4 linked regions of the Saccharomyces cerevisiae S288C genome follow. Changing the gene in region 4 together with the main gene of any one other region gives a genetic interaction. Each region holds a gene or a part of one and is shown on either strand. Other genes may lie near its edges.

Region 1 (10,341 bases), on a different chromosome or scaffold from region 4:
GCAAACCAGAGCAACCAATAACAATAGGTTACATTTCATCCCAGGAACACAGGATTCAGCATGCAAAGGAAGCTCACGAAAAGTATTTACAAAGGCTTCAAGATTACCAAAACGGCGATTTGGAGAAAGGTATTACATTGAAGAATTATTTATACCAGGGTAGTCAAAGAAAGTTAGAAGACGCAAAATATAATCAGCTTCACCATCCTTTACCAAAGATTATGCTTGGTATTTCGGTATTGTTACTTTTCTACGTTTTGGCCAAGTACAGGAAAAGAATATTCAACAGATCGTCTAAAATAGTTTCTATTAGAGAGGATTAAAATGTTTCGATCCATCCGCTTAATATTCATTCATTTTGTATCACATACATACGTATAAATATACATAACTTACCTCGTCTTTATTATGCCAACCATCATTCCAGGGTTTTACGTAACAGTTCCTCTATGGATTCCTTTTCTAGGTACTTCCCAATCAGCACAATTTTACACTCTTTATTGGATCCGTCATATTTGCCTGGAAAGACATCGTAGGTGTCGCGGACGCCTTGGATTACACGAGCAATGGGGTTCTCTCCTTCAATAAGTATCAGACCTTTAGTTCTTTGTACTTCCCAATCACGGCCGTCATCTCGGCGACGCCCTCCCAGCACTGTCATGGCTCCAAAATTCTTCCACAATAAAGGTTGCAAAAATTGCTTAATAAACTTATTATTATATTCTTCCTCGTTTTTTAATGGTCTGAAAGTAAGCATTATTGTGCCCATTCGATCATCATGAATGGTACCGTTTCCGCTACCACTATCTAAGATGTCAGATATCCGTACACTGTCGTATGCATGAATATCTAGTAAATTTTGAATCGGCGTATCACTATACTTGGTGAAGAACATCGGTGCGATAGAATTTATTTCCCGTACTCTTTCTTTTAATTGTTTGACCATTTCTGGTGAATGTTCGATAGTATCGTATTTGTTCATTATAATTCGATCAGCCATGGCTAGTTGGAAGTGTGCAATAGTCAGATTCCCCTCCAAACCAACTTTGTCACCATGCCAATGGGCATCGATGGAAATATCATCTAAGCATTTTAGTATATGCTCACAATCCAAAACCGTGATGATCCCGTCAATGTAAACGCTGCTATTCAATCCTTCGTCCTGCCAGAACATTTTCGCAATGGGGGCGGGATCTGCAATACCGGAGGTCTCTAAAAGGATATAATCGATTTTACCAGGTGAACGCTCCACCATATCTTCGATGGCTTTAACACCTATATTTTTCAACGAACAACACAGACACCCGTTACCCAAATCCAACCATTCTTGGTAGCTGTTCGATCCATTTTTAATGGTCATAGCCTTTTCGATTTCACTAGAATCTCCAAATTCATTTAAAATTACGGCAATTTTTTTATCTGCACCTTTTAATGCAATTTTTTCCAGCAACGTCGATTTACCTGATCCTAGATAGCCGGTAATAATGCTCACAGGAATACGCTTTTTCTCGTGCACATCTGTTGCGCCTGCAGAAGTGTTCTCCACTTGCTTGTTTACCCTTTCAACTTTTGCATCGCTAACAATATTTCCACCATCATACGAGACATTTTCCAAAATTTCTTGTAGATTATTTTCTTCACCTGTTACGAGGCAGGGTAGTTCACCATCTTCTTCTTCATTGAACTTGATGTTTCTCAATGCAGACATTCTTCCGCTTTAAAAGTTGAAAATTCCTCAATGAAAAGGGTGTTCTTGGCTTTACAAGCGCATTAAACATTTAATATTATATAATATTTATAATATACATGTTATTCCAATAGTGAAAAAAAAAAAAAAATGAAAATGAAAATGAAAAATTCGGCCCTTAAAAATGAACAACCTTTTACCAGCCGGCATTAAATGTCGTGGCACTTCACAGTTTATAACGCAAGGAATTTACTAATAGCAAGTGAAACCATTAACGATTAGTGTTGTTAAAAGAGTTGAATAAAGCCATTAAACAACGATTCAGTTGACAATGCGTTGGTCTGTCCTTGATACAGTGCTATTGACCGTGATTTCCTTTCATCTAATCCAAGCTCCATTCACCAAGGTGGAAGAGAGTTTTAATATTCAAGCCATTCATGATATTTTAACCTACAGCGTATTTGATATCTCCCAATATGACCACTTGAAATTTCCTGGAGTAGTCCCTAGAACATTCGTTGGTGCTGTGATTATTGCAATGCTTTCGAGACCTTATCTTTACTTGAGTTCTTTGATCCAAACTTCCAGGCCTACGTCTATAGATGTTCAATTGGTCGTTAGGGGGATTGTTGGCCTCACCAATGGGCTTTCTTTTATCTATTTAAAGAATTGTTTGCAAGATATGTTTGATGAAATCACTGAAAAGAAAAAGGAAGAAAATGAAGACAAGGATATATACATTTACGATAGCGCTGGTACATGGTTTCTTTTATTTTTAATTGGCAGTTTCCACCTCATGTTCTACAGCACTAGGACTCTGCCTAATTTTGTCATGACTCTGCCTCTAACCAACGTCGCATTGGGGTGGGTTTTATTGGGTCGTTATAATGCAGCTATATTCCTATCTGCGCTCGTGGCAATTGTATTTAGACTGGAAGTGTCAGCTCTCAGTGCTGGTATTGCTCTATTTAGCGTCATCTTCAAGAAGATTTCTTTATTCGATGCTATCAAATTCGGTATCTTTGGCTTGGGACTTGGTTCCGCCATCAGTATCACCGTTGATTCATATTTCTGGCAAGAATGGTGTCTACCTGAGGTAGATGGTTTCTTGTTCAACGTGGTTGCGGGTTACGCTTCCAAGTGGGGTGTGGAGCCAGTTACTGCTTATTTCACGCATTACTTGAGAATGATGTTTATGCCACCAACTGTTTTACTATTGAATTACTTCGGCTATAAATTAGCACCTGCAAAATTAAAAATTGTCTCACTAGCATCTCTTTTCCACATTATCGTCTTATCCTTTCAACCTCACAAAGAATGGAGATTCATCATCTACGCTGTTCCATCTATCATGTTGCTAGGTGCCACAGGAGCAGCACATCTATGGGAGAATATGAAAGTAAAAAAGATTACCAATGTTTTATGTTTGGCTATATTGCCCTTATCTATAATGACCTCCTTTTTCATTTCAATGGCGTTCTTGTATATATCAAGAATGAATTATCCAGGCGGCGAGGCTTTAACTTCTTTTAATGACATGATTGTGGAAAAAAATATTACAAACGCTACAGTTCATATCAGCATACCTCCTTGCATGACAGGTGTCACTTTATTTGGTGAATTGAACTACGGTGTGTACGGCATCAATTACGATAAGACTGAAAATACGACTTTACTGCAGGAAATGTGGCCCTCCTTTGATTTCTTGATCACCCACGAGCCAACCGCCTCTCAATTGCCATTCGAGAATAAGACTACCAACCATTGGGAGCTAGTTAACACAACAAAGATGTTTACTGGATTTGACCCAACCTACATTAAGAACTTTGTTTTCCAAGAGAGAGTGAATGTTTTGTCTCTACTCAAACAGATCATTTTCGACAAGACCCCTACCGTTTTTTTGAAAGAATTGACGGCCAATTCGATTGTTAAAAGCGATGTCTTCTTCACCTATAAGAGAATCAAACAAGATGAAAAAACTGATTGATAATAGCTAACGTCAATTCCAATAAAATATATAGCGAGCGTTTTACATTAATCCACCTCGACTAGACTTCAAATTTTCACTTTTATATCTTACCTTTATAAATTTCTGTTCTCAAAATCAAAACAATTATAAAAAAATGCTATCATTAATCTTCTATCCTTGAATTAACATTATATACTCTCCCCCCACTACATTATATTTTGATTTTACATATAATACAACAAACCTTCTCAACTTAACTACTCTCTTTCCTCAGTATCTGTAGAGGAAGAATCGTCGCCAAAGGCTATTTCTCTAATTTGTACAATCCAAGGATCCATCAACAGCTCAACCGCACTGGCTCTCTTGGAGGGGTTTTGAATAAGACATCTTTCCAGAAATTTCATACCAGCAGACGACACTTCATCCTTAGTAGGGAATTGTGGGGTATGTCCTGCAGCAACATGGTACATGATAGCCCATTCATTATCTAAGTTAGCCCATGGCCGTCTACCAGTGATCATTTCTAATACCACGCAGCCTAACGACCAAACATCGTCTGCCCCAAGTTTGCCTTTGGTGGTAGATCCAGTGATGGATTCTGGAGCCATGTACATAGGAGTTCCCATCATGTCTAATAGAGCATTTTCGTTATTTTTCACTGCCTTTGAATCAGAAACATGGGTAACATCTTCGTGTTCACCATCTGCGTTTTCGATTTTGTTCATACTTGCCAATCTAGTTCCATTATTAGCAATTTTTTTAGCAGCACCAAAATCAACATACTTAATAACACCATTAAAATCTAGTAGGATGTTTTCGGGTTTAACATCACGGTGAACAATGCCGGATTCATGCAAATATGCAAGTCCTTCTAGCAATTGTAAAGTGTAGACTTGAGTGACCATTTCATCTTCAATACGACCATGCTCCAAAAGAGCTGCTAGGGAACCGCCTTCACAATATTCCATAAAGATGTTAACTTTATCACGATGAACTTCAACACCGTAATATGAAACTATATTTGGATGGTTCAATATCTCTAAGACACTCATTTCCTCCTTGATTAAGGGGAATATTTTTTGCATTGATTTGCTATCTTGAATATTGATTTCCTTGACTGCTAAAATCTCACCATTATCCAAATCAACAGCAGAATATACCCTTCCAAAAGTACCGCCACCAATAAAGTTCCTCTTTTGCCATCTCATAGAAACGTTCGATATGGAAGATGCCAAAGAAACAAGGTACTTGTTACCTTTGTCACTATCATCAATTACTTTACCAGTTTGATGAGGATTCCGCTTTATCCTTTCTTCCAATTCCATTATACTTTGTACTCGGAACTCGGAATTCACTTGTAGCATCATATCATCGTCAAACACATCTTCCAAATCAAGATTTGATCTAGCTTGTTGATTGATTTTCTCAACTTCTATGGAGCGTGCGCCTATTATATCAAAATGAGAAATAAGTAATGACATGCATTCTGAAATTTTTTGTTTTAAAGAAGAAAATTGGCATTCATCAAGAGCTAGTATGTTCCAACCGCTTACCATATGCATCGCGAACTCCATTGACGTGACACACCACCTAAATACCCTTTGATCAGTCGGATCACAGTCTTCAGCTAAGAACTTCAGCCATCCGATACTTAACCGCATCATTAAAAGTATTATAATGGATCTTTTTTCATTGTTGGCAACATTAATTCTCAAAAAGTTCAGACCAAAATCCCTCCCAAAAAGGAAAATATTATTCAATAAATCATTGACAGGACTTACCTTCTTGAACGTGGTCACAATCTTTGTATAGTTCTTCAGAACACTGTACGTGCATCTGAAATATGCTTTATTTATCCTTTGTAAGTTGTTTTTAACCGTTTCTGAGGAAGATTTTTTTTCCAAGAAAGAAACTGAGCTACCAGATATCTGTTGGAACCTGTCACATTGGTATTCTAAGGCATAACTGGATCCTTGGCACATCAAATCTATTGAATTAGGAATTACTTTCAAGTTCAATCCCTCTGGTTTAATTGTTTTGTTATCGGATAGATTATACATCTCACCCTCCCAAAGTAATGGCTCTTGCGGAGTCAATACCAATACATAACCAAGAGAGTTCAATCTTGTCTCCAGTTCATAAAACTCTTCCTCCGTGCTCCTGCTGTTTTCAAAATCCGGTTCACGATTGACTCTATTACCGTTATAAGATCTAGGCTGGGTGGTCAAATCGTTTTTGATATAATAAAATGGGGTACCATCATTCGAGATATCTGAACCCAGTGATGAGTTGGAGTTCCAATTATCATCCAAAGCATTATAAATTGTCAGACTGTTATTAATTTCTAGCTTAGGCACTAAATCACAACCGATGTCTGAATTCTTAATGATTCTTAAAATATCATCATCTTTACAGCCTAATAGCTCTGGGCTACCAATTAAATAAGTACCATTTTGCTCTAGGTAACCTCCTGTGTATATAAGAAAGTGGCCTGTTTCTTTTAGTTGCTTTAGCAGATAGTTGTGATCTTCTATCTTGTAGCGGACAAAATTTTGAAATGCTTTTGTCAAAATATTGGTGAATCTATTGAGTTTTCTTTTCATGGATCCAAGTATTTCGAATATTTGCACCAGCCATTTTTCAGCAGCAGCTTCATTCTCTAATTTTGGCGGAGTGTTTTGCTGCCTTAAAAGGTAAGCGTGCAATCTGTGAACCAATCTAAGTGTCAACTTCGTAAATTCTGCTGCGATCAGTTCGCCTGCATCATCAATATAATAGCCGACGTTTCTAAACATTTCCCAATATTTTAATAACAGATCAGGTTCTTTAGAAGTCTTGAATGAGTTTTTGCCACTATATAATATTCTCAGTTCCAAAATGGAGAAAAAATATTCCAATCCTTCAACAACGGTATGATCAAATTCGGGATCGATTTTCACTTTAAAAAACCAGTCATTACAGTAAGAAGCAACAGTGAATTTCATTTGGACTGCCAACTTAATATATGTACTAAAATCGTCCATCATTTGATCGATCATCATCAAGGTTGGATTCTGTATTTTCTTCGCGTAAGATAGGCGAATTAGTATTATATCTTTTACCAAACGCATTGGAAACATCAATAAAAATTCCAGATCTTGATCCAAATAAGATAGATTCAATTCATTCCAAGTTTTTTGGTATTTCAAGAAGAAAAATTTGGCCTTCAAAATCCATGGTGCTAATGGAAAGAATATTTTTTTTTGAAATATCAGTTCAATATCCTTTTCCTTCATAATTTGCTCCGCAAAGCGTTTACAATTAGTGGCGAAAACGGCTGGATCATCCAAATTCACGGTGGTGTTATCCACTTCGGTAGTGCTTTCTAGCTCTTTATTGCCAACTATCCATTTTTTCAGGTACGCAATATTAGTATCAAAGTTAAATTTGAAATTAAGCCAACTATTCAAAGTATCTATTCGATTCCTGAATGCTTCTGTTTTAGTAATGGGTTTTTCAGCATGCATTCTTTTAATGTTAGGCCATAGATTTAAGACTCTATAATATTTGTCTACTAGTGATTTGATAGTCTCTGCAGCCTCGTCAGCGCTCATATTATCTTCTAGTTTAAAGGCCATGATTTCTTGAAATACGGAGTCAGTAGAATCCCTAAAAATCCTCAGAGATTTGTTCTGATCTTCCACGGTCCTCCCATTCATCCATGCCTTCAACTCAATCCAAATGTCATCTGAAAACTGAGTATTGAAGCCAGGGCCTTTCCCTTGATTTGCAATCTTCGTTTTTTCATTCCTCACAATATCTCCCTTCAGTACCTTAGATAACATTGTTTGCCATTCAAATCGGTTGTTCACCATAGGATTTTGTAACAATTTTGACAGCAAATCCTCGCTCCCCAGTATGGAATGCCACTCCTCATCTTCTATTTCACACGGTTGATCATTGTTCACATCCCTCAACCAATCCAATTTGCCCTTTAGATAATTTAGGCTCATCGAAACAACATTTTCATTATTTTTTGTGCTCGACGTAATAAAATTATAACCAAAATTGAAGTCGTTATCTTTATCCTCACCTTCTACCTTTAAAAGATCATCCATTTCTAGTTCTAAGTCATCTTCACCTTTGTTACTAAAATTTTCTTCGTCATCTTCAAAGTTGGATGATGCGACTATACCTCTAGTGTAATAATCATCATTAGCACGGTTTCTCATTTTTCTTAAATATAACTGTTCATTTAATACATATTGTTTTTTGTATGTTCGGAGGCTCGTTGTGCTTCCACCATGGTGGCCTACAGACCGTTGCGAGCTATTTGTCGTGACAATATCCTGCAAAGTGGAGGAACTTGTTGACCCATTTGGTTGCGATCTGGTGGGAATGTGTTTGTTCGAAGTTTGGTTTGTAATATTTTGTGGCGTTGACATAATCGATGTATTCGTTGTATTTAGTGAAGCCAGTTCTGGTGATATCACTAACGTTGGGGTCGTCAATAATGGATCTTGATTACTATTCACGGGAGCGGGCTTCTTAATAATCTCGCTCTCTGTTTTACTAGCCTCAACTTTCTTATGTACAGGAACAGGTTGAGTAGACAACTTCGGTAGAGACTGCTGAGGATTTTTTGGTAGAGGAAGACCAATATTCGAGGGCCGTCTACTAGATCTTGCCGAGGAGCTGGAGGACCCAGAAATGGCATTTTGATGAAAAAACTGACCTTGAGGTATACCCGGAAGACGATTGAATAGCTGTACTGTATTTAATGGAGACTCTCCAGGGCTGTAAACAGCGTTTGGTGATCTAAAGTACTGGGTAGAATGCAGCCCTGGGCTGATGGGCGATGACGCTACTCGAGCCTGCGTAGTATTGGAATTTCGCCCTAAACTTTCCGACCTTAGTCTAGATGAAGATGATGAAGATGACTGCCTCATCTTGGAGCTGCTGGGCTTTTCCGTGGAATCGCCGTAAGGCTTATAATTGAAGTAGTCTGAATGCGACATTATTTGTGCCTGTCAAATAGTTTACGCAAAGGCTTCTCTTCTTTTTAGTAATGGCAGACTGTTTGTACTTGAAACTGCCCAATAGTAACTTGAAGGACAGACGGAGCTCACACAAAAGTTAACAAATATGCTGGAACCTTTTTTTTTCCTTTGAATTCTTTGTAAACCAGTAATTCGTTTTGAAAACACCCGTTCTTAGCTGTTCTTTAACAGTACTACTCTCTAAGGCAATAACACACTGGGGCAGCAACAATTACAATCTTCTAACCTCTTCTAATCTGCAGATTTGGCTTCTTTCTATCTCTGTTTACCCACCTTTATCACTCTTTTCAGATTAATCAATTCTTTCCATACAAAGAAACGCCCGAAAAGTGGCGCGAGTTTCCCGGGTGATGGAGCAGTAATTAATAATGCAAAACTGCTAAAATACCCACTGTTTCAGGGTATGAAACGCGGTATTTTCAGCGAGTTGTAGGTAATTTGGAACAGTTCGTGACTGTTTATTAAGTTCCACTCATTGCAGTTGTATCCCCACTGTGTACTTTTATTTTTGGTTAGAGAATTGGCCCAGTAGAGATGGAATTGGACGAATGTTTAGAAAGGCTATACAAGGCCCAGTTACTACCTGAAGTGACTGTAAGGGCACTCTGCTTTAAGCTGAAGGAAATGCTAGTGAAGGAGTCAAACGTGATTCACATTCAGACCCCTGTCACAGTCGTGGGGGATATGCATGGACAGTTTCACGATATGCTGGAGATCTTCCAAATAGGCGGCCCTGTTCCTGATACGAATTATCTGTTCTTGGGCGACTATGTAGACAGGGGGTTGTACAGTGTGGAAACAATTATGCTATTGATTGTGCTTAAGCTTCGATATCCTAGTAGAATTCATCTTTTGAGGGGAAACCACGAGTCACGTCAAATCACGCAGAGCTATGGTTTCTACACGGAGTGCTTGAACAAGTACGGTGGCAATTCAAGAGTTTGGCAATATTTGACAGATATATTTGACTATCTAGTGTTATGCTGTATTATCGACGACGAAATTTTTTGTGTTCATGGTGGGCTCTCGCCCAATGTTCAAACCATAGATCAGATCAAGATTATTGATAGATTTCGAGAAATTCCACACGATGGCGCCATGGCAGACTTGGTTTGGTCTGATCCGGAAGAAAACAATAACCCCACGTTAGATCATCCAGATAACTCTGGACAACATTTCCAGGTGTCACCTCGTGGAGCAGGTTATACTTTCGGAAGAAGCGTGGTGGAGAAATTCTTACGTATGAACGATATGAACAGAATATACAGAGCCCATCAGTTATGTAACGAAGGTTACCAGATATATTTTGATGGATTGGTTACTACTGTATGGTCGGCGCCAAACTATTGTTATCGGTGCGGCAATAAAGCATCTATTCTGGAGCTGTATAGTAAAGATCAATTCTACTTCAACGTTTTCGAAGAGGCACCTGAAAATAAACTGTTGAAAGAGAACAGTATGAACGACAATGCCTTAGAAGATAGCATATCTAATCCGGTAGCCAACAGGAAATTGATTGCAGATTATTTCGAAGACGACTCTGCCTCCGCAGATGGCTCCACGGACCCTGAAATGTACATATTTTCAGATGTATACCAAGCCAGATCTGCTTCTAACAGACATGTTGATTACTTCTTGTAGCTTAC
Region 2 (8,442 bases), on a different chromosome or scaffold from region 4:
TCTCATTTTGAGATACAACACAGTGGGCTAAGAATATACAACCGTTTTAGTCAATGTGTTGAAATATCATATTTTAATGCATTGCTCGAATCTCTTCCTTCGACTTACTTATATTGATTAAGGGTATGTATTTGATCCTTCCACCTGGAAAAACTGAGGACCTTACAGTGTTATTAAGTGTATGATGTATCACTGTCGTTGTAGTATTTCTCGGGAAGTTTTTCACTGGCAATTGGAGGTTGCTAGAGTTTCTTTTAACGCATACCCTAAACGCTTGTTTCTATTTTAATGACTACTTGAATCCTATCTAACTGGTGACACAATTTGTTTCATTTTTTAATATCTCACCTAATATATCCTAATAATATGAACATACCATAGCTCTTGTAAAGCTGGTCCATATTTATGTTTAGTTTCCGAATGCTTTTGTAAGGAAACGGGTTGTGGAAAAAAAAAAATACAACTACGTTGCCGCGAATCTTGTTGAAAAAGGTCTCAAATTAAGGCAAAAATGATACTGGAATTGTTAGTCTTGTATAATCGATCAACTGCAACAACCAAGTCTTTAAATTTTCAGTCCGTCTTGAAAGAATAGTGAAGGTTCATTTTTATTTTTACATAGTAAAGTTTATAGAATTATGGGCGATACACAATATAAATGTTCTAACCCAACTGATGCATATCATCACTGTACGTTTGAAAATCGGACAGGCAAACTGGATAAATGGAAAACGCAATTACAAAGGGTATGAAAATGAATGTAAGAAGTGAAACAGTGCCTCGAAACAGTTCCCAAACTCTCTACGACTTCATTAGTCATTTCACGTCCATATATCAAAACATATATCAATATTCCTTAGCGTATGCCCTTCTTACGGCGTCTCTTCTCCTCTTCATGCTTTTTTAACCAAGCTTCCTCACGTTTATCCTCTAACCTTGCCATTTTTCTTGCCATTTCCTCCTCTTCCAAGATTTCCATCTCATTTGCTTCCATATCATCATCCTCAAGCTCATCGTAATCGTATTCTGACCGCTTCTTGCCTCTATTGAACATAGCCCAAATTTCGTCACGATCATATCCGGGACCATTGCTGTGTTTCGATTTGCTGTGGTAACCTTCATCTTCATCGTCTTCTATAAAATCATCCATATCGTTATCTTCTTCATCATAGTCATCCTGGTATCTTGATTTCTGTTTTCTAGATTCTAACTTTTCTTTTAATCTCCTATTAGGTTGAGCAAATCCATTTGTGGGCAAGTTGAGCTTGACGGGCTTGGGTGAGTCTGATGATTTTATGCTATTGCCTCCAGAAGATACTCCACGCAATGTTGCGCCAGGGGATGCTTTCTTTTGTGGTCTTTTTGAACTTTTGAAACCTGGCTTGTTAAAATGTGGGCGTTCCTTAGTTACGGGTTCCGATGACTTAACTTTTGGGGGCTGTTTCTCATTATTTTCCGCTTGTTTCATTAGCTCTTCAAATGACATCTTTTTGATAGGTTCAGGTTTCTTCCTTACAACTGGCTTGAGTGGCGCATGACTTGCTCCAATAGACCTCTTAAACCTAATTCCAAGGCCACCTTCATCATCGTCATTCCTTTCTATTTTCTTTTTCTCAGATCCAGATGAGGTGCCACGTTTCCGTTTTACACCACTTTTTTTAGCCAAAGCACCATTCTTTAACAGTTCCTGCCGCCTCAGCTCCTTCAATCTTTTTACTGCAGGATCTTCGTCTCTTATGTAATTTTTGGGTAACAAGGAATACTCTTCGTCATTCTTCTTGGGTAATGGATCTTGCACTTGGGCTTTTGATGCAGTCGTTGATTTTCGTATTTGGGAAAGTTTGGAAAGAAAACTCATAACTAAAATATTTCACTTTGAATAGGACTCAAGTCCCTGTCCCTCTCATCAACTTTTATTTTCAAATTACACTAGTTATTTTATTGTATTCATATATTAATCTGTGGCACTTGTCCATGTGGGAATATCTTAGTCGAACAAGAAAAATAATCATGTTAAACGAAAAAGTTTGAAGCCAACTAAGTTCTCATTCATTACAAAGTATATACAAAATTCCTGAACATAGAATTTCTTTATTAAAAACATACTTTCCTAATTATTCAAACCGTTTCAGCCTCATTTCAGTCTGATTCCTCTGACATCTCTAGTTCTTTCATAAAATCCGAATAATCCTCCCCGACATCGTCGTCTGTAGCACTTTCCTCCGCTTTGTCAACAGAAACATAATCTAAACTATCTTCTGGCTCTGAAGGTTCACTATACGGCCTTGCTTCGTGGTTTGCTATACCTGGTAGGAACCCACCTCCCATAAAAGTCTCCGTATTATCGTGATTGTCCGCAATATTCTGTTCCTTCGTAACGTTAGGTTCTTCCTCGGCAATTTTACCATATGTGGAGTTCAGCTTGCTACGAATACGCAGTTTTAGCAGTAAAGTATTCCAACTCTCCAAAGCACCAAGCAAATGTTCCTTCCTATTATCATCCTCTTGAATAAACTCTATTCCATCAATAGCGGTTTCAATAGCTTCTCTGAGCCACTTTGCAACAACAATGCCACTTAAAACTGGCTTAACTGTACTGCCGCGTTCAAACTTAAAAGAAGTTACAGCAGGTGCAAATTCCACCCCCAAAAACCTAGCAGCTTTAATTGCCACAGGATTCTCAACCAAACAACAGTTACCAGGTATCATCGTTGGTGCAAAAACTTCGATGTTTCCAAATGTATTCTTGGTTATTTCACCGCTCGCACTGGCTAATGGAGGGATGTATAATTCTGTGTCTTCAAAGCTATATAATCTTTCATCTTCTTCTTCTGCTTCGCCCTTAGGCCTTCCAACTGTCCTCTTTATCACCTTTTTACACCTGCTACCAGTTTTTAAAATTCGGCCGTTCATGTACCATTGTCTAGCACTTTTCAAATCCGCAATATCTCTTTTTGCATAAACTTTCAAAACCTTCCCAACTTTTCCATGTACTTTTAAATATCCACACTCTTTACATCCTGGCTTTACAATTTGAGTCTGTTTGATATCTTGTTCTAAAACATAATATGGGTGGTTTTTCAAATCCTGCACCGAATCTGGTATGCCTTCACTTTCATCTCTCTGAAAAAAATATTGATCTTCGTAATCATCAATTTTGGTTCTCTTTCTATGGTGAAGTGCTGTTATCACTTTTCTGAACCATTTCTCACCAAAGTCATCTTTAGTAATTCTTCTTTTTCTTACTTTAGAGTTCATCCATTGGGCATATCTTCGAGTTACATCTCTACAGCCATACTTCCGATCGTAAGCAATCACGTACCTCAACATATTTCTTTCGCAGCACGCCACGCCTTTCGGTGCCAACTTGGAATGAAGTCTGACCTGTTCAATGGTTTTGAGATTTACTGGGTCAACAGTTATCCATTTCTTAGAGAATTTGTCCCACACTTCACACCAAAAAATCGGATACTTGACCATATCTTTGTACGCATTGTTTCCATTCAAAGAAGTGTCAATCTTCATATTGGTAAAATCTGGCGGTTGACATGACATGATAAGTCGTGCGTTAACATTACAAGCCCTGAGCATCGCAACGAAACCTTGCACTGAAATATCAGGATCTCCGTGACCTTTACTGACGGCCCTTAAAAAGTCAGATCTTTTCAACGTCTTGAATTTTCTTTTGTTATTGGCGCTCATTTCAATTTCTTTCCAGGTTCTCATATAAAGTCCCACATTATCATATTTTTTAGTGATCTTCCAGTGTTTTTGCCATAACTCCATGCATTTCTTCAACCCATCTAATAATTTCCTAGTACTCCTAAGTGGGAGTTCCTCATCTTTCTGAGGATGCAGTAGCTCAAACACTTTCTCAGGAACTAAGTTGCTCAGTTTTCTAGACAAGCGCTTGCTGTTAATCCATTCATTTCGTATAAATCCATGAACCATCAAGCAAACTAGATACAACATGTGGAAATATTTTCTCCTTTTCCGTTCTTCATTAGAACAAACGTTGCGGCTTGTCCTTCTAGCATCACTATTCCTTTTACTAGAGGGCTTAATTTCAACAGATATATCTTCTACACCGGCCACCTCATTTCCATCTGTCACGTCTTCAAATTCCTCCGAATCATAATCTTCTTCAGATGACTGGATTTCCTCTACACTATCATCCGTCGGTACCGTAACGACGCCATCATCTGAAGAATCTAAGTTTACAGTAACAACGCTTTCTCGTGGCAATTCATTCAACCCTGTTTTAAACTTCTTCTTGGCATCTGGTAGGGGCTGGTTCTTCCTTCTGACTCTTCTTCTTCTACTCAGGGGCGCTTTTTCTGCCTCTTTCTCGTTAAGAGCCTTCCTTATTAGTTCAAAATATTCCTTGGGCAGGTCTTCATTCATTTTAGCGGAAAAATAGTGTCGTTATGTCTCTGCTTGTCGTCCTGTTTGAACTGCATAAAATTTGCATATATTGTGCATGCATTAAAGGTACTTAACCGCATTTTTCCATTTTCCGCCGCACTATATAGATGGTAGAAAAGCAAGAGGAGAACCTTACATAGTTAATCAAGATATGTATACATATTTCATTCACCTGTATTTATTTACAGTCTCCAATAGAGCAGTCAGATAATGATCGGTAATACGCCCTCGCTCTTTCATGATGGGCATTTGCGCTAGCGCTTGCTCCAGTTTTGCAAGGTATTCATAGTTAGATCCACTAGGTCCATGCGACACGGCAATTACTTTCGCAGTTTCATCCACGGTCTCTGGTCCGACGAAGGCCTCATTATCTATTGTACCAATGTACACCGAAGTAAGTAGTACCCGTTTACCCGATTTGTTGTGCCGAGGCAACTGTTCTAATGCTTCACCCAATTCTGCCTCGTGCTCCCGATTAGTTTCTAGATGCACCTCAACCTCATGTAGAGTGTACCCGTTTTGTTCTCTTACGTTCAAATACTCTCTAACCTCTTGAGCATGTTCTGGTGGTATATAATACACTACCCCTATGGTGACTAAGTCGTCGGGATCCTGGATAGGTGCACTTTCACTATACAAATTCACATTCTTCAAGAAGGCAGTTTGCCTTATAATATCCTCATACGGGATTAGTGTGGCCACTCTTCCTGGGTTTGCAGGTGTACCCCTATGATCAGTGGAACTTTGCCAGAACCGACGAGCAAAACCGTGAATTATTGCCGGTATTCTATGCGTGTAATGAGACGGAGGCTTGTAAATCAGAGATCCGTAGCCTAGGACCCAGATACCACTGTTGTCATTAGTCATTTGGCCATACAACTTTTTATAAGCCCAAACCAACGTCGTGATTGCTTCTTCCAAGGTTAAATCACCTCGAGACTAAACTCATAGCTAATATTGACCTTACCTTTTAGCGTTACCCAGAATACCAATTATCCCGCTCCTTGGCGAATCCAAAAAAAAAAAAAAGGAAAAATTACTGGAGTGGCAAATTTTCTCATTCTCTTCATATAAACCACTAGGGAGGACGTCGAAGAAAAGTCTGCTAGGTGTTGGTGACAACTTCCAAGCTTCCCTTAACACAAGGGAACTATTGATAACCGCTGGTTGACATACGCCTTTAAAAGAGGTCATACGTTGCGACACTCTCTCCCTCCCCTCTCACTGATGTTTTCTGTCTTCAATTTCTGGCAATAATCTTAAGACGAAGCAGTCAAGTCCTAAGGAAGAAAACGATTTTTGATTGTTTTAAGTTGCCACTACGTAGTGGTCAATATGGAAGCCTCTGCGCAATGGAGAAACACGGGTGGCATAGGTCAGCGAACCATACAAGCGAGAACACTCTCATTACTTTATGGATCATCTCAGTATTTCACCGTTCGAGGAAAATCTTCTTTCGCAGGCCGAAGTCACCGTGATATATTTGATACTTTTGAGATATCCTTGAAAGGTAAGCTTCTATGTTGTACGTTTATTTTTTTTAACTTTCTTTGTTTTAGCTTTTACTTCGATGATATGTTACTGCCCCATATACGGTAAAAGATCATACGTTGCCAAAATCAAAAGACATGATTGCCTGTATGTTTTCCTCAGCCCATCAATGCGTAATACGGTCAGCTAAACGCTGCTCACAAGCCAAGGGCTTGCGTGTTGCTCGCGCATCGGTTGGATATCACTGGTAGGCCACTTCTTCAATATTTTGAAAATGAAACACGCTAAAGTTGAAAACTTAATTATCAACCGTCCAGAAGGTGTAGGCAATTTCATCTAAGAGAATAAATTTAACATCCCACGATCCTTATCACATCCCATCCCTACACTAGGACATATGTTCCCAAACATTACAAAGTTCTTTCCTGATATCATTACTGATATAAGATTATGTCAATTATTGATACCATTAAAGACATGTAATATGCAACACTTGTCGAACAGATCATAGTTCAGTAGTCGATTATCATACTGTTACCCTCTCGTTATATAATTTTACTTTTTTTCCTTTCCTTCTTTTCAATTTCGAAACTGTACCACGAGAAACATTGTGTAGAAGAATCTTGTCCTCATTATATCTGGTTAGTACTATCGTATTCTTGTCCGGACATCTAAGTCAAGTTGATAAAAGTTTGGGGTTATCAAGTCAAGATAAGCAAGCTTGCAGAAGTCACCTTCTCTTTTCCGTTACTTCTTTTGTGAATATACACATACTTGTTTCTTCCAAAGGAGAAAATTGAATAAGCCTAAACATCGACCATCATTTTCTTTAATTCGTACTTGAGTTCCACTAGCTTACCTATTCACTAACGACAAAGTTTCTCAAAGGTTTTTATTTTTCATTTGCTTCAAGACTTTTCCGTTATTTCTTTAAACCTATACCCAATTCAAAGCAGAACCTTTTCTAATTTAATTCTCACTTATAATGGCAGCCAAGGATATTTCTACTGAAGTGCTGCAAAATCCTGAACTATATGGGCTGAGGCGGTCACATAGAGCTGCTGCGCATCAACAAAACTACTTCAACGATAGCGATGATGAGGACGATGAAGATAATATTAAACAGTCGAGGAGGAAGAGAATGACCACGATTGAAGACGACGAAGACGAATTTGAAGATGAAGAAGGCGAAGAAGATTCTGGAGAGGACGAAGATGAGGAAGATTTTGAAGAAGATGATGATTATTATGGCTCTCCTATAAAACAAAATCGATCAAAACCGAAATCAAGAACAAAATCAAAGTCTAAATCTAAGCCAAAATCTCAATCTGAAAAGCAATCTACAGTGAAAATACCAACAAGGTTTTCTAATCGTCAAAACAAAACGGTAAATTATAACATCGATTATAGCGATGATGACCTCTTAGAATCTGAAGATGACTATGGTTCCGAGGAGGCTTTATCAGAGGAAAATGTGCATGAAGCATCTGCCAATCCTCAACCAGAGGACTTCCACGGTATTGATATTGTTATCAATCACAGACTAAAGACATCTTTGGAAGAAGGAAAGGTCTTGGAAAAGACTGTTCCTGACCTCAATAACTGCAAGGAAAATTATGAATTCTTAATCAAATGGACAGATGAATCTCATCTCCACAATACCTGGGAAACTTATGAATCCATTGGCCAAGTCCGTGGATTGAAGAGGTTGGACAACTATTGTAAGCAATTCATCATCGAAGATCAACAAGTAAGATTAGATCCATACGTTACCGCCGAAGATATAGAGATCATGGACATGGAACGTGAACGTAGGCTTGATGAATTTGAGGAGTTCCACGTGCCAGAAAGGATTATTGATAGCCAACGTGCTTCGTTGGAAGACGGCACCTCACAATTACAGTATTTAGTTAAATGGCGTCGTCTAAATTACGACGAGGCTACTTGGGAGAATGCCACAGATATCGTGAAATTGGCACCTGAACAAGTGAAACATTTTCAAAACAGAGAAAACTCTAAGATCCTCCCACAATATTCCAGTAATTATACTTCACAGAGACCGCGTTTTGAGAAGTTAAGCGTGCAACCTCCGTTCATTAAAGGTGGGGAATTAAGAGATTTTCAACTAACTGGTATTAATTGGATGGCATTTTTGTGGTCCAAAGGTGATAATGGTATACTGGCAGATGAGATGGGCCTGGGAAAAACGGTCCAGACTGTCGCCTTTATCAGTTGGCTGATATTTGCTCGTAGACAAAACGGACCTCACATCATTGTCGTTCCTTTATCGACAATGCCTGCCTGGTTGGATACTTTTGAGAAATGGGCGCCTGATTTGAATTGTATATGCTATATGGGCAACCAAAAATCAAGAGATACCATTCGAGAATATGAATTTTACACCAATCCAAGGGCAAAAGGGAAAAAAACAATGAAATTTAATGTTTTATTAACAACATACGAGTACATCTTAAAGGATCGTGCTGAATTAGGAAGTATAAAATGGCAATTTATGGCCGTTGACGA
Region 3 (7,868 bases), on a different chromosome or scaffold from region 4:
CAAGCCTGCCGCAAGCATTGGCACTAAAGACGTGTCCGGAGAAGGGGTTCAACAGTCATTATTGAAAATCATTGAGGGCCATAAAGTGGAAATTACCGTTAAAAGGCCTGTTAAGCATGATATTGACGGACAAAAAAATCAAACTACAACAAAGAAGGACGAAGTATTTGTTGTAGACACTTCAAATATTCTTTTCATGATTATGGGAGCTTTTGTTGGTTTAGATAAGCATATTGTTAAAAGGATAGAAGATATGAAGAAAATACAGAAGGCAGGAGAGTCTGTTGAATCATCGAATAGTAAAGAAGTTGAAAAAGAAAGAGCGAAGAAGTTCAGATTTAGCAATACGCTTGAGCAGGTTGAATTAGATAACGGAAAAAAAGTGTGTGCTTTAGACTTGACCACCCCCACAGATTTAGTTAGCTTTGGTCTAATTCCTGAATTAATTGGCAGAGTCCCAATTATAACTGCTCTGCAGCCTCTACAAAGAGACGATTTATTTCATATATTAAAAGAACCTAAAAATGCCTTATTGGATCAATATGAATATATTTTTAAGCAATTTGGGGTAAGATTGTGTGTTACACAAAAGGCGCTAAAGAAAGTTGCTCAATTTGCTCTCAAGGAAGGAACTGGCGCCAGAGGGTTGAGAGGGATAATGGAAAGACTTCTGCTAAACGTTAATTATGATTGCCCGGGTTCTAACATAGCATACGTTTTAATCGACGAAGCTACTGTCGACTCGTTACAGGAAACAGAGCACTCTTTGGCTTCCCAAGTGGACGTAAAATACTATTCTGGTGATGAAAAGGACAGTTTAATTCGTGACGTTTCTGAAGAAGATAAAAAATTAGGAGTTATGCTAGAAAAAGAGTTGGGTCATTCTGCTAACATTCATACCCCAACAATTCCCAAGAGAAGCTTAACATAAAAAAAAATGAATGGTATAGAATATATAAATATAGATGTAATAAATGTAGTAAATGAACAAATAATCTTCCTACAAAGTACTATGCCATGGGAAGTAAAAAAAATTAATAAATATTGGCTAAAGTGTTTCAAATTGGTTCTACGATACTGGGAGACTACTCCTTATCATAATGCTTTTTGTCCAGTAGTAAAAATTGAAGTAATTCTTGAACAATTTAAAAAAAAATTGGAACGGCGGCACAATTATTTGGTATATGGCAGCTTTGGCTTTTGCGCCACCACATACAAAGTTCTAAAGCAGCCAGCGTTGTCATCGATTTTTCCTATGTGTTCTTCCACATATCTTTTGAAAAGAGTGGTGGGGTCGGTATCCTTTGGAGGACAACTACTATCTGGTAGTTGCCTCCTTAACATGTAGTCCCACATATCTAAAGAATTAAATTCATTCAAAAAGCCCATATCTGTTTTGAAGTCACCAGTTTTCAAACTTAGGACCGAGGACTTGATGCCTGTAAACCCTACATCCTTGAATGTCCTCGTTAAGTGTTTTGTAGGATGGATATGTAAGCCTTTATTTATCGCATCAATAGCCATAGCATCAAATGTCTTGTCCCGTTCTTTTGTAGTCAAAAACTCTTCTGATGAATTATTTGCTTTTTCGGCATCGGCGTTGCCAAGAATTCCAGTATAGTATGTGTTTGAAATCCTTAAATCTGGAACAATTGCCAGCGCGTACCCGCCAGGAATTATTGATCTGTATATTTCCCTAAGTAGAGCTTTCCATTTATAATAACTTAAACTTGTCCAGACCCACGGGCATATTACAGCAGGTATAGTGTCTGATGCAAACGGCAGTCTTAATTTTAAATATTCTTTACCATAAATAGCTGCGCTTTTTGCCCTGTCAAGTCCTTCATTTGGAAAGGAGTTATCCGAATTAGAGGATATTGGTGATGACAAAGGTGGTTCATCTTCAGGCTGAAGTTGTGCATTAGAGGACCTCTTCACTTCCTTTGGCAAAATAAATTGGGTCGGTAAATCGATTTCTTTGTAGTTGTTCAAAGTCCGGCAAAAAAAATTCTCCAACCATTCATTTTGATGTGCTTGGTTGGCTGATTTGACATGGGGAGCTTTCTCTGTCCGAGGGGGACTAGAGATATGTGACTGTGGTTGAATTTTTGGAGAAGAAGAAGAAGATATGCTAGGTGAAACTGAAGGGCTTGTAGTATGTGAAGTTGATGCAAGTTGAGAATGCTTTCTCTTGAAAAAGTTGACGAAACCAGATTTTTTAGTAGCCTTGGTAGGGCTCTTCTTCCTTTTGACAGCATCTGCTCCCGAGGACGGCAATGATAAAGATCTACTTGAAGCGAATTGGTCGTTTAGAGGGTCTTCCTCAACTCCCTGATTGAAGTTGTTTCTAGAAATACGTTCTTTTGCATCATCTGTAAAGAACTTTCTATTCATGCAATCATACATATACTCTGAAGCATTGGAAGAATTCAATTCGATAACTTCTTGTTCGTCAGAAACTATTTTCGCTCTTGAACCCTTTCGTGGCAAATAATTTTGTAAGTTTGTTAAATACTCAGGAGCAATTTCACTAGCATTCTTATTCTGAGCGTCATTGTCACTGCTGTCAATCATCCAGGGAGATAAATCTAATGCGAAATCTGCGATGTTCAAGCTTGGTTCATCATACGCCAGCTGCCAACCGCCCAGGGTTTTATGCAGCGGTCTTATTAATAAGATGTCAATTTCGTCTAATGGATCCGATATTACTGGCCTTGGAGAGTTTGCTTCTATATCTAACTGCTGAATATATAATGTAGGGTCACTGATCTTGTTGCTGGTGGTGCTGATTGTTGGATTAGAATGTTGTCTTGTGGTTGGTTTTCTTTTTATTAGTTCCTCCACTACTTCAGATGAAAAGAAGAATGAATTTGATTGCAGTAAAAATTTTTGAGATTGAGCCAACCATAATTGAATCAAGGATTCAATTTCAGAATAATCTTTTAACGGGTCAAACGATGGAAAGCATTTAACCTCAGTCTCTATATTTATGATGTTTTCAATGTTAAATGGATAACATTCAAATGCATATTTCCTAGATTCCAAATATTTTGTTAGGAAATCAATGTACGACCGTAATCTTTTCTTGGCAAATATTAAAGAGTCTTCTGGCGAGGAGTCCATGTTAAAAGATAGAAACAAGTCCATTCTATTAAAGAGCTCATTATGATTCGGGTCGTACATTATTTGTTTGAATTCACCGTCTATGCAAATGTTGATTAAATTATGATTTCCTGAAACGGTTTTGATTAGAAGAGAAGAATCTGATGCCGGTAAAGTGTTCCAGTCCCATTTTTTTCTAGAATGGAGTTTCTTGACAACGTTCGAAGTTGCACCGTGTAGACCACCACCTCCCCGGCCATTGCCGACCATATTGGATACAATGAATCGCGGTGCAGAAGGGTCTGGTGAGTAATTAGCTTTCACTTCGGAAGTCGGAGTTCCGCTTCTATGACTATGTTTATTATTACTTGTATGATGATGATGTAGACCTATTTTGGAAAGCTGAGCGGACTTCAGTTTGGATACTGAGGATGAGGCAGCGGAGTCAGATGATCGTCTTGACGAGTTTGAGAACAAGTCATCCGCCAGTCTAAAGTTTGGCAAATGTAAGGGCGAATCAAAGGACGAGAGCTTATCTGAATGATGGCTTACTTGTGGTGAGTGTGATTCTACTGAACTACTTGATTGCGTGGTTCCATTTCTACTCTCTTTTTCTTGTTTCCCCTTTTCTTTGTCAGCATTTTTATGTTCAGTAATCATTGAACTTGTATGGTTATCATGTGCTTTTAAGTTGGAAATTTTGTTACTGGTTATACTGGTTAACCCCCTATCATTCTTACTATCAATGTTTTTTGCTTCCTTATTGGAGCCCATTGTATTTACTTGAGCAGTTTATAAAAAGTGGATAAATGAGGGGAAAAATAATAAAAAAGAAAATTGAACAATCCTTCAATATGTGTCCTTTAATAATTACTACTACTTTACACACTTCTCCAGTAGCTGCTGCTTGTTTCAGGTGATGTGAACAACGTGTTTCAGCGTTCTTGGTAAGTGTTGGTATGGATCCCTTCTGATGTATTTTCGGCGGCCGCACTAAACTGCGAAAATGGTAATTTAATAAAGGGCTTATAAAGAGGAAAATAATGCAGAGAAACGGTGAGCCCAGACAAGAATGATGATAATGTGTTTTCAACCGATCATTAATGTCACGAGAAACAAATTTCAATGGAACTAAGAGGAAGAGGTCGGATGTTGCCGAGAAAGTAGCACAACGGTGGAAGAGCGTCAGGTATAGTGCTGAAATGGAGAATATGGCTCCGGTCAACAGTAACAATGATAGCGACGACTGCGTCATAGTCAGTGAATCGAAAATCATTGATTTGACTAATCAGGAACAAGATTTGAGTGAGAGAATAGAAACAAACGATACGGCAAAAGGTGCCGTTTTTAAACTAATGAAATCGGACTTCTATGAAAGAGAGGATTTTATGGGAGAAGTAGAGGATATGATTACATTGAAAGATATCTTTGGCACTGAGACACTAAAAAGAAGCATACTCTTCAGTTTCCAATACGAACTTGATTTCTTGTTGAGACAATTCCACCAGAACGTAGAGAACATAACCATCGTCGGCCAAAAGGGTACTATTATGCCTATCGAAGCCCGTGCTATGGACGCGACACTGGCAGTAATATTAAAAAAGGTCAAACTTATTGAAATAACGATGCCCCCATTCGCTTCCCACCATACGAAGCTGATCATAAACTTTTACGATAATGGCGAATGCAAAATATTCTTGCCATCTAACAATTTTACGTCAATGGAGACTAACCTGCCTCAACAGGTGTGTTGGTGCAGTCCCCTTTTGAAAATAGGTAAAGAAGGGCTACCAGTACCGTTTAAGAGAAGCTTGATAGAATACCTCAATTCGTACCACCTGAAAGACATTGACGAATTGATTACAAAAAGCGTAGAGGAAGTTAACTTTGCTCCTTTGAGCGAATTAGAATTTGTATATTCTACGCCCTCCAAATTTCAGTCGTCGGGTTTACTGTCGTTTTACAATAAACTAGAAAAACTTTCTGCTGGCACAAGTGCTAGTGATACTGCAAAACATTATCTATGTCAAACTTCATCCATAGGGACATCTCTATCAAGAGCGCGAGACGAAAACTTATGGACACATCTAATGATTCCTCTGTTTACCGGAATCATGTCCCCTCCAGCAAAGGACACCGCTGGGAGGAAGAAAGCAGAAATACTGCCAACGAATTCATTGATTAATGAATATTCGCAGAGAAAAATCAAGCCGTACATTATTTTCCCCACCGAACAAGAGTTTGTCACCAGTCCCTTAAAGTGGTCCAGTTCCGGGTGGTTTCATTTTCAATATCTTCAGAAAAAGAGCTACTACGAAATGCTGCGAAACAAGTTCAAAGTATTTTACAAGCAAGACCCTGCTATGGTTACTAGAAGACGAGGGACGACGCCCGCGCACTCTAAGTTTTACATGCATTGTGCAACAAACTCCGCAGGGCCCTGTGATGCATCGCAGGTATTTAAAGAACTAGAATGGTGCCTTTATACTTCGGCAAACCTCAGCCAAACAGCATGGGGCACCGTTTCAAGAAAACCACGCAATTATGAAGCAGGAGTGCTTTACCATAGTCGCAGGTTAGCAAATACCAGGAAGGTCACGTGCCGTACTTTTACACGTGACCGTAGAGGCTGCGCGGGTAATCCCACCCATGTGGCCGTGCCATTCACGCTGCCAGTCATACCATACGACTTAGCTGAGGACGAGTGCTTTTGCCTTGCTCGTCATGAGAACGACTAACAAGTAAGAGCGCGATGTTGCTGTCCACTTAGGCATCACTATATGGGGCCAGGAATGGCAAATTTACTTGATAAACTTCAGGCGATTGGATTTTGGTGCTCAGAATATTTTTTTCTCGGGCCGAAAGCGTCTTTAACTATTCCGAGCTAAAGCTTCCGAGTCCTTTATTCGGTCTTTTTTTATTTTTCAAGATTAACTGTATATAAATAGAGATGGTATGATTAAAAGCTCTTTTTAATAGATGCTCCTTCTTGAAATTTACTCCCACTGTGCTGCAAGAGGTTAGACGCTTCACGCACATTTTTGCTACAATGACAAGTGCCGCTACTGTTACTGCTTCGTTCAACGATACTTTTAGCGTATCCGATAATGTCGCCGTTATTGTTCCTGAAACGGACACTCAGGTGACCTACAGGGATCTATCCCACATGGTGGGTCACTTCCAGACCATGTTCACAAATCCTAATTCTCCATTGTACGGAGCTGTTTTCAGACAAGATACAGTGGCGATATCCATGCGTAATGGGCTGGAATTTATCGTCGCTTTCCTCGGTGCTACTATGGACGCTAAAATTGGCGCGCCCTTGAATCCCAATTATAAGGAAAAGGAGTTCAATTTTTATTTGAATGACCTGAAATCTAAGGCGATTTGCGTCCCAAAGGGTACCACAAAGTTACAGAGTTCTGAAATTCTAAAATCTGCCTCCACGTTTGGATGTTTTATCGTAGAGCTGGCCTTCGATGCGACCAGGTTTAGGGTAGAGTATGATATATACTCTCCAGAGGACAACTACAAAAGGGTTATTTACCGGTCTTTGAACAACGCCAAATTTGTCAACACAAATCCCGTTAAATTCCCTGGGTTTGCCCGTTCCAGTGACGTTGCCCTGATTTTGCATACCAGTGGTACCACCTCCACTCCAAAAACGGTGCCTTTGTTACATTTGAACATTGTGAGAAGCACGTTGAACATTGCTAACACTTACAAGCTAACGCCCTTGGACAGATCTTATGTCGTGATGCCTCTTTTCCACGTCCATGGGTTAATTGGTGTTTTACTTTCCACTTTTAGAACTCAGGGTTCTGTTGTGGTTCCCGATGGATTCCATCCAAAGTTATTCTGGGACCAATTTGTTAAGTACAACTGTAATTGGTTCAGTTGCGTTCCCACAATAAGCATGATTATGCTGAACATGCCCAAACCAAACCCTTTCCCACACATTAGATTCATCAGATCGTGTTCTTCTGCTTTGGCTCCAGCAACGTTCCATAAGCTGGAGAAGGAATTCAATGCACCTGTCTTGGAGGCCTATGCGATGACCGAAGCATCACATCAAATGACCTCAAACAATCTGCCTCCAGGAAAGAGAAAGCCTGGTACTGTGGGCCAGCCACAAGGAGTCACCGTCGTCATTCTAGATGACAATGACAATGTCTTGCCCCCGGGCAAAGTCGGCGAAGTTTCCATCAGAGGCGAAAACGTCACTTTGGGGTATGCTAATAATCCAAAAGCTAACAAGGAGAACTTCACCAAGAGAGAGAACTATTTCAGAACCGGTGACCAAGGTTATTTCGACCCTGAGGGGTTTTTGGTCCTTACAGGCAGAATCAAAGAGCTTATCAACAGGGGTGGTGAAAAGATTTCACCCATTGAGCTCGACGGCATTATGCTATCGCATCCAAAGATCGATGAAGCCGTTGCATTTGGTGTTCCCGACGATATGTACGGCCAAGTAGTTCAAGCCGCCATTGTTTTGAAGAAGGGAGAAAAAATGACCTACGAAGAACTGGTGAACTTCTTAAAGAAGCACCTAGCCTCTTTCAAAATTCCAACCAAGGTGTACTTTGTTGATAAGCTACCAAAAACCGCTACAGGTAAAATCCAGAGAAGAGTTATCGCAGAAACTTTTGCTAAGAGCAGCAGAAATAAGAGTAAGTTGTAGGCAGTATCCTGTACAATTTTATGCTCTCTGAAAGCTTCTATCTGGCACCCGTTTATATACGCCAATACTTATGTATTTTATCTAT
Region 4 (2,981 bases):
AGCAGCAGGGTGGATTTGAGCAATCCTCATGGGTTTACCAAAGAGGGAGTGGATTTATCGAAGCTGTCACCACAAGAACTAAAATTGTATAAAATGTATGGGAAGCTTCCATCCAAAAAAGATCTGTTAAGACATAAGATGCAGGATCGTCAATATTTTGACAGCGGAGATTATGCATTGAAAAAGGCCGGAGTCATTAAGTCGGATGACGTTATCGTGAATAATTCTAGTAATAATCTACCAGTGACCAATCCTAGCGGTTTAAGAGAGTCTATTATTAGAAGACGTATGAGTAGTAGTAGTGGTGGCGATTCTATCTCGAGACAAGGAAGTATCTCAAGTGGACCTCCACCAAGATCTCCAAATAAATGACTAATGAAGGAATGATATTATGTGGTATTACTTTTTTTTTATCATCACTAGCTTCGGCTAAGCCCTTGCATTTTCAATATTCAATTACCAAATAATATATATATATATATATATATATGTATGTATGGTATACCTTGTGTTACTGATGTGTTTTTTGTTGACGTCATCCTTTTGATTTACTCACATGCTTAGTAAATGAAGGTTGTTGAGGCCTAAAAATCAGCTAAGATTTACACATCGATACTAATCATTGAACGCCCCTATGGGAACACTTAATTGAATAAATATCTGCCCAACTTGCTGAACATCAAAAACCCAAAAAAATAGAAATCTATAAAATACAACGCCAGTGACAACTGCGAGAAACATTGTGAGCAAGTGAACGCACTAAGGGCACCAATTACTAGACCTGGGAAAAAAACGGTTAAAGTGCCATCAAAGAACAACCACAGAACAATGTTTAATAAGCTCCATGCACCAGCTGCCTGCAAAGAGGAGGACCATTCAAGTTTCCTAATACCAAATATTAAGCCCAAAAGAGTATTGGCACATCTTATAAATGATCCTAGGGTGTTTTTGTAAACTGATGACCTGGTTTTTGGCTGGTGTTGATAACGAACGAAAGAGTCAATGAATGGTACTATGGAACCAAAGATAACACCTTCAGTACCAAATACAGCCCAATCAGGCACCATGTCAGGTTCCGCGACGATCTTGTTCTTAATTTCTATACCATGCTTTAAAAAGGATACGATATCTCCCTTTGCCAATTGGTCATTATCAAACAAACATTCTGATATCATGGGGAAGAGTATTCCTGCTATGAATAGAATAAAAAATGCAGCAATAGTATTGATTATTTTCGCATACAATGACCTTTCGTGTCTCGCAGTCGCGGATGGCGGAACCATTTCCAATTGAGAGGCGTTAGACAATAAAGCCTTGTCATAAACATTACCTTCATTCTTGGTAATATCGTCATCATAAAATGAAAACAAAGCGGGCTTAGTCAGCGTATTTATAGCTGTAAAACTTGCGCTTCCCAGCTTATTTCCCAAAGGTGGCAAAGCTGCCTCTTTCTTGGTATTATGGACACCATTAGGAACACCTCCAGTGTTTAATTGGTTCTTACTCTTCTTCTTGCCCATTAGTAACCTCCTCTGTTTAAATTTTTTTTTTCTCACTTGCTCTGAATACCAAAAGGTGAGTTTGGTGAAGAAATTTTGACACTTTTTCTTTTGCGCTGTATTTTGTAACAACGCATATTTTGAAGATATTCTAAATAAGAGAGATTGATTAATGAAGACAGAAGGAATAAAAAGCCCATCGGCAAAATACCATGATATGGCGGGCTCCCAGAGAATCCCTCACAAGAACCCGCACATTCAAAAAGTGGCTGTTTTGCAAAGTAAGCCCAATAAGGAAGATGCGCTAAATTTAATAAAGGAAATCGCACATAAAGTTTCCTATCTAATGAAGGAAAATCACTTCAAAGTGACCAACTTGGTGGAGTTTTACCCACGTGATCAAAGACTCCTGGGAATGAACGTCAACCATGGATCTAAGATAATGTTACGGTTAAGATGCTCCACGGATGAGTTCCAATTTTTACCCATGGAGTGTATAATGGGCACCATGCTGCACGAATTAACTCACAATTTATTCGGTCCACACGACAAAAAGTTCTACAATAAGCTAGATGAGTTGATTGGAAGGCAATGGGTTATTGAACAAAGAGGTTTGTACGACACATTTTTGGGGAACGGTCAACGTCTCGGTGGAAGAGCAAACTTACGTTCAAATAGATATCCTATGACAGGAATAAGTACTAACACAGGGATAGTGAGAAAAAGGGGCAAAGGTGTGAAGTTAGGGAGTTTGCATCCAGAGGGTATATCATCTATAGATAGAGGTAATTCCCCGAGAGAGTTGGCGGCTTTTGCAGCCGAAAGGAGATATAGAGATGATCGCTGGTGCGGAGAGACGAAGAATAACAAAGATCAAATAATAAGTGATAATATTAGCAGCTCCTTAGAAGTTGTAATCCTTGATGATGATGACGAGGTACTCCCGGGAGATACTCTTATCGAAGTTATTGATCTCACTTAATCTCTTGTCCACAGCGAAGAACTCGAAAATTATAAGTATGGTAAATGTCGTTTCGGTTGTAAAGTATACAGATATATTCACATTACAAAAAATGTAAGAAAGACGGTAGTCTTGCAAAAAATGTCATTTCTATATTTAGCAACAACCTAATTTTTGGAAAAAGCCCTTATGAGAAGCAGCTAGACTTGAATTATCGTCATTTGGGTGCTGTTCAGGAGTTCTTAAAGCAGCAGAAGGTTGTTGTTGTGGTTGATAACGAGCGCCAAACTGCTGAGATTGAGTTTGCGCTTGAGGCTGAGATGGAGGTTGGCCTGTTGCACGTAGCTGTTGCTGTTGCTGTTGCTGCTGTTGCAATTGTTGCTCTTGAAGTTGTTGCTCCTGAAGTTTTTGTTGCTGCTGTCTCTTTTGTTGTTCTTGCAGGTATTTCTGCTGGGTTTGATGCTGGTAAGCTTCATAAGAAGTAGGGTCTAACTTTGGTTTATATTGAGAATTGCGCATAT

The links.
Region 1: mutations in WSS1 (region 4) and SSK2 together harm fitness more than expected from each alone (negative genetic interaction), as found in Saccharomyces cerevisiae (3 studies listed by BioGRID).
Region 2: mutations in WSS1 (region 4) and RAD4 together harm fitness more than expected from each alone (negative genetic interaction), as found in Saccharomyces cerevisiae (3 studies listed by BioGRID, with this or other methods).
Region 3: mutations in WSS1 (region 4) and TDP1 impair growth when combined (synthetic growth defect), as found in Saccharomyces cerevisiae (9 studies listed by BioGRID, with this or other methods).

The regions. Positions count from the first base shown.
Region 1 is NC_001146.8:676,781-687,121, forward strand, and holds SSK2 (mitogen-activated protein kinase kinase kinase SSK2), read right to left. Parts: upstream 8,654-10,341; coding exon 3,914-8,653; downstream 1-3,913. Other genes in the region: peptidylprolyl isomerase family protein CPR8, read left to right, coding at 1-323; ZNG1 (GTP-dependent zinc transferase), read right to left, coding at 419-1,708; ALG12 (dolichyl-P-Man:Man(7)GlcNAc(2)-PP-dolichol alpha-1,6-mannosyltransferase), read left to right, coding at 2,019-3,674; putative serine/threonine-protein kinase PPG1, read left to right, coding at 9,230-10,336. UniProt on the Saccharomyces cerevisiae protein: Kinase involved in a signal transduction pathway that is activated by changes in the osmolarity of the extracellular environment. Activates the PBS2 MAP kinase kinase by phosphorylation.
Region 2 is NC_001137.3:498,491-506,932, forward strand, and holds RAD4 (Rad4p), read right to left. Parts: upstream 4,405-8,442; coding exon 2,140-4,404; downstream 1-2,139. Other genes in the region: SPT2 (Spt2p), read right to left, coding at 857-1,858; GCG1 (gamma-glutamylcyclotransferase), read right to left, coding at 4,594-5,292; chromatin-remodeling ATPase CHD1, read left to right, coding at 6,902-8,442. UniProt on the Saccharomyces cerevisiae protein: Involved in nucleotide excision repair of DNA damaged with UV light, bulky adducts, or cross-linking agents.
Region 3 is NC_001134.8:666,635-674,502, reverse strand, and holds TDP1 (tyrosyl-DNA phosphodiesterase 1), read left to right. Parts: upstream 1-4,205; coding exon 4,206-5,840; downstream 5,841-7,868. Other genes in the region: MCX1 (Mcx1p), read left to right, coding at 1-931; YBR225W (uncharacterized protein), read right to left, coding at 1,174-3,876; PCS60 (Pcs60p), read left to right, coding at 6,152-7,783; YBR221W-A (uncharacterized protein), read right to left, coding at 7,861-7,868. UniProt on the Saccharomyces cerevisiae protein: DNA repair enzyme that can remove a variety of covalent adducts from DNA through hydrolysis of a 3'-phosphodiester bond, giving rise to DNA with a free 3' phosphate.
Region 4 is NC_001140.6:370,078-373,058, forward strand, and holds WSS1 (metalloendopeptidase WSS1), read left to right. Parts: upstream 1-1,671; coding exon 1,672-2,481; downstream 2,482-2,981. Other genes in the region: IGO2 (phosphatase regulator), read left to right, coding at 1-372; NSG1 (Nsg1p), read right to left, coding at 645-1,520; serine/threonine protein kinase YCK1, read right to left, coding at 2,617-2,981. UniProt on the Saccharomyces cerevisiae protein: Metalloendopeptidase that acts selectively on DNA-binding proteins. DNA is needed to bring the protease and substrates together to enable proteolysis.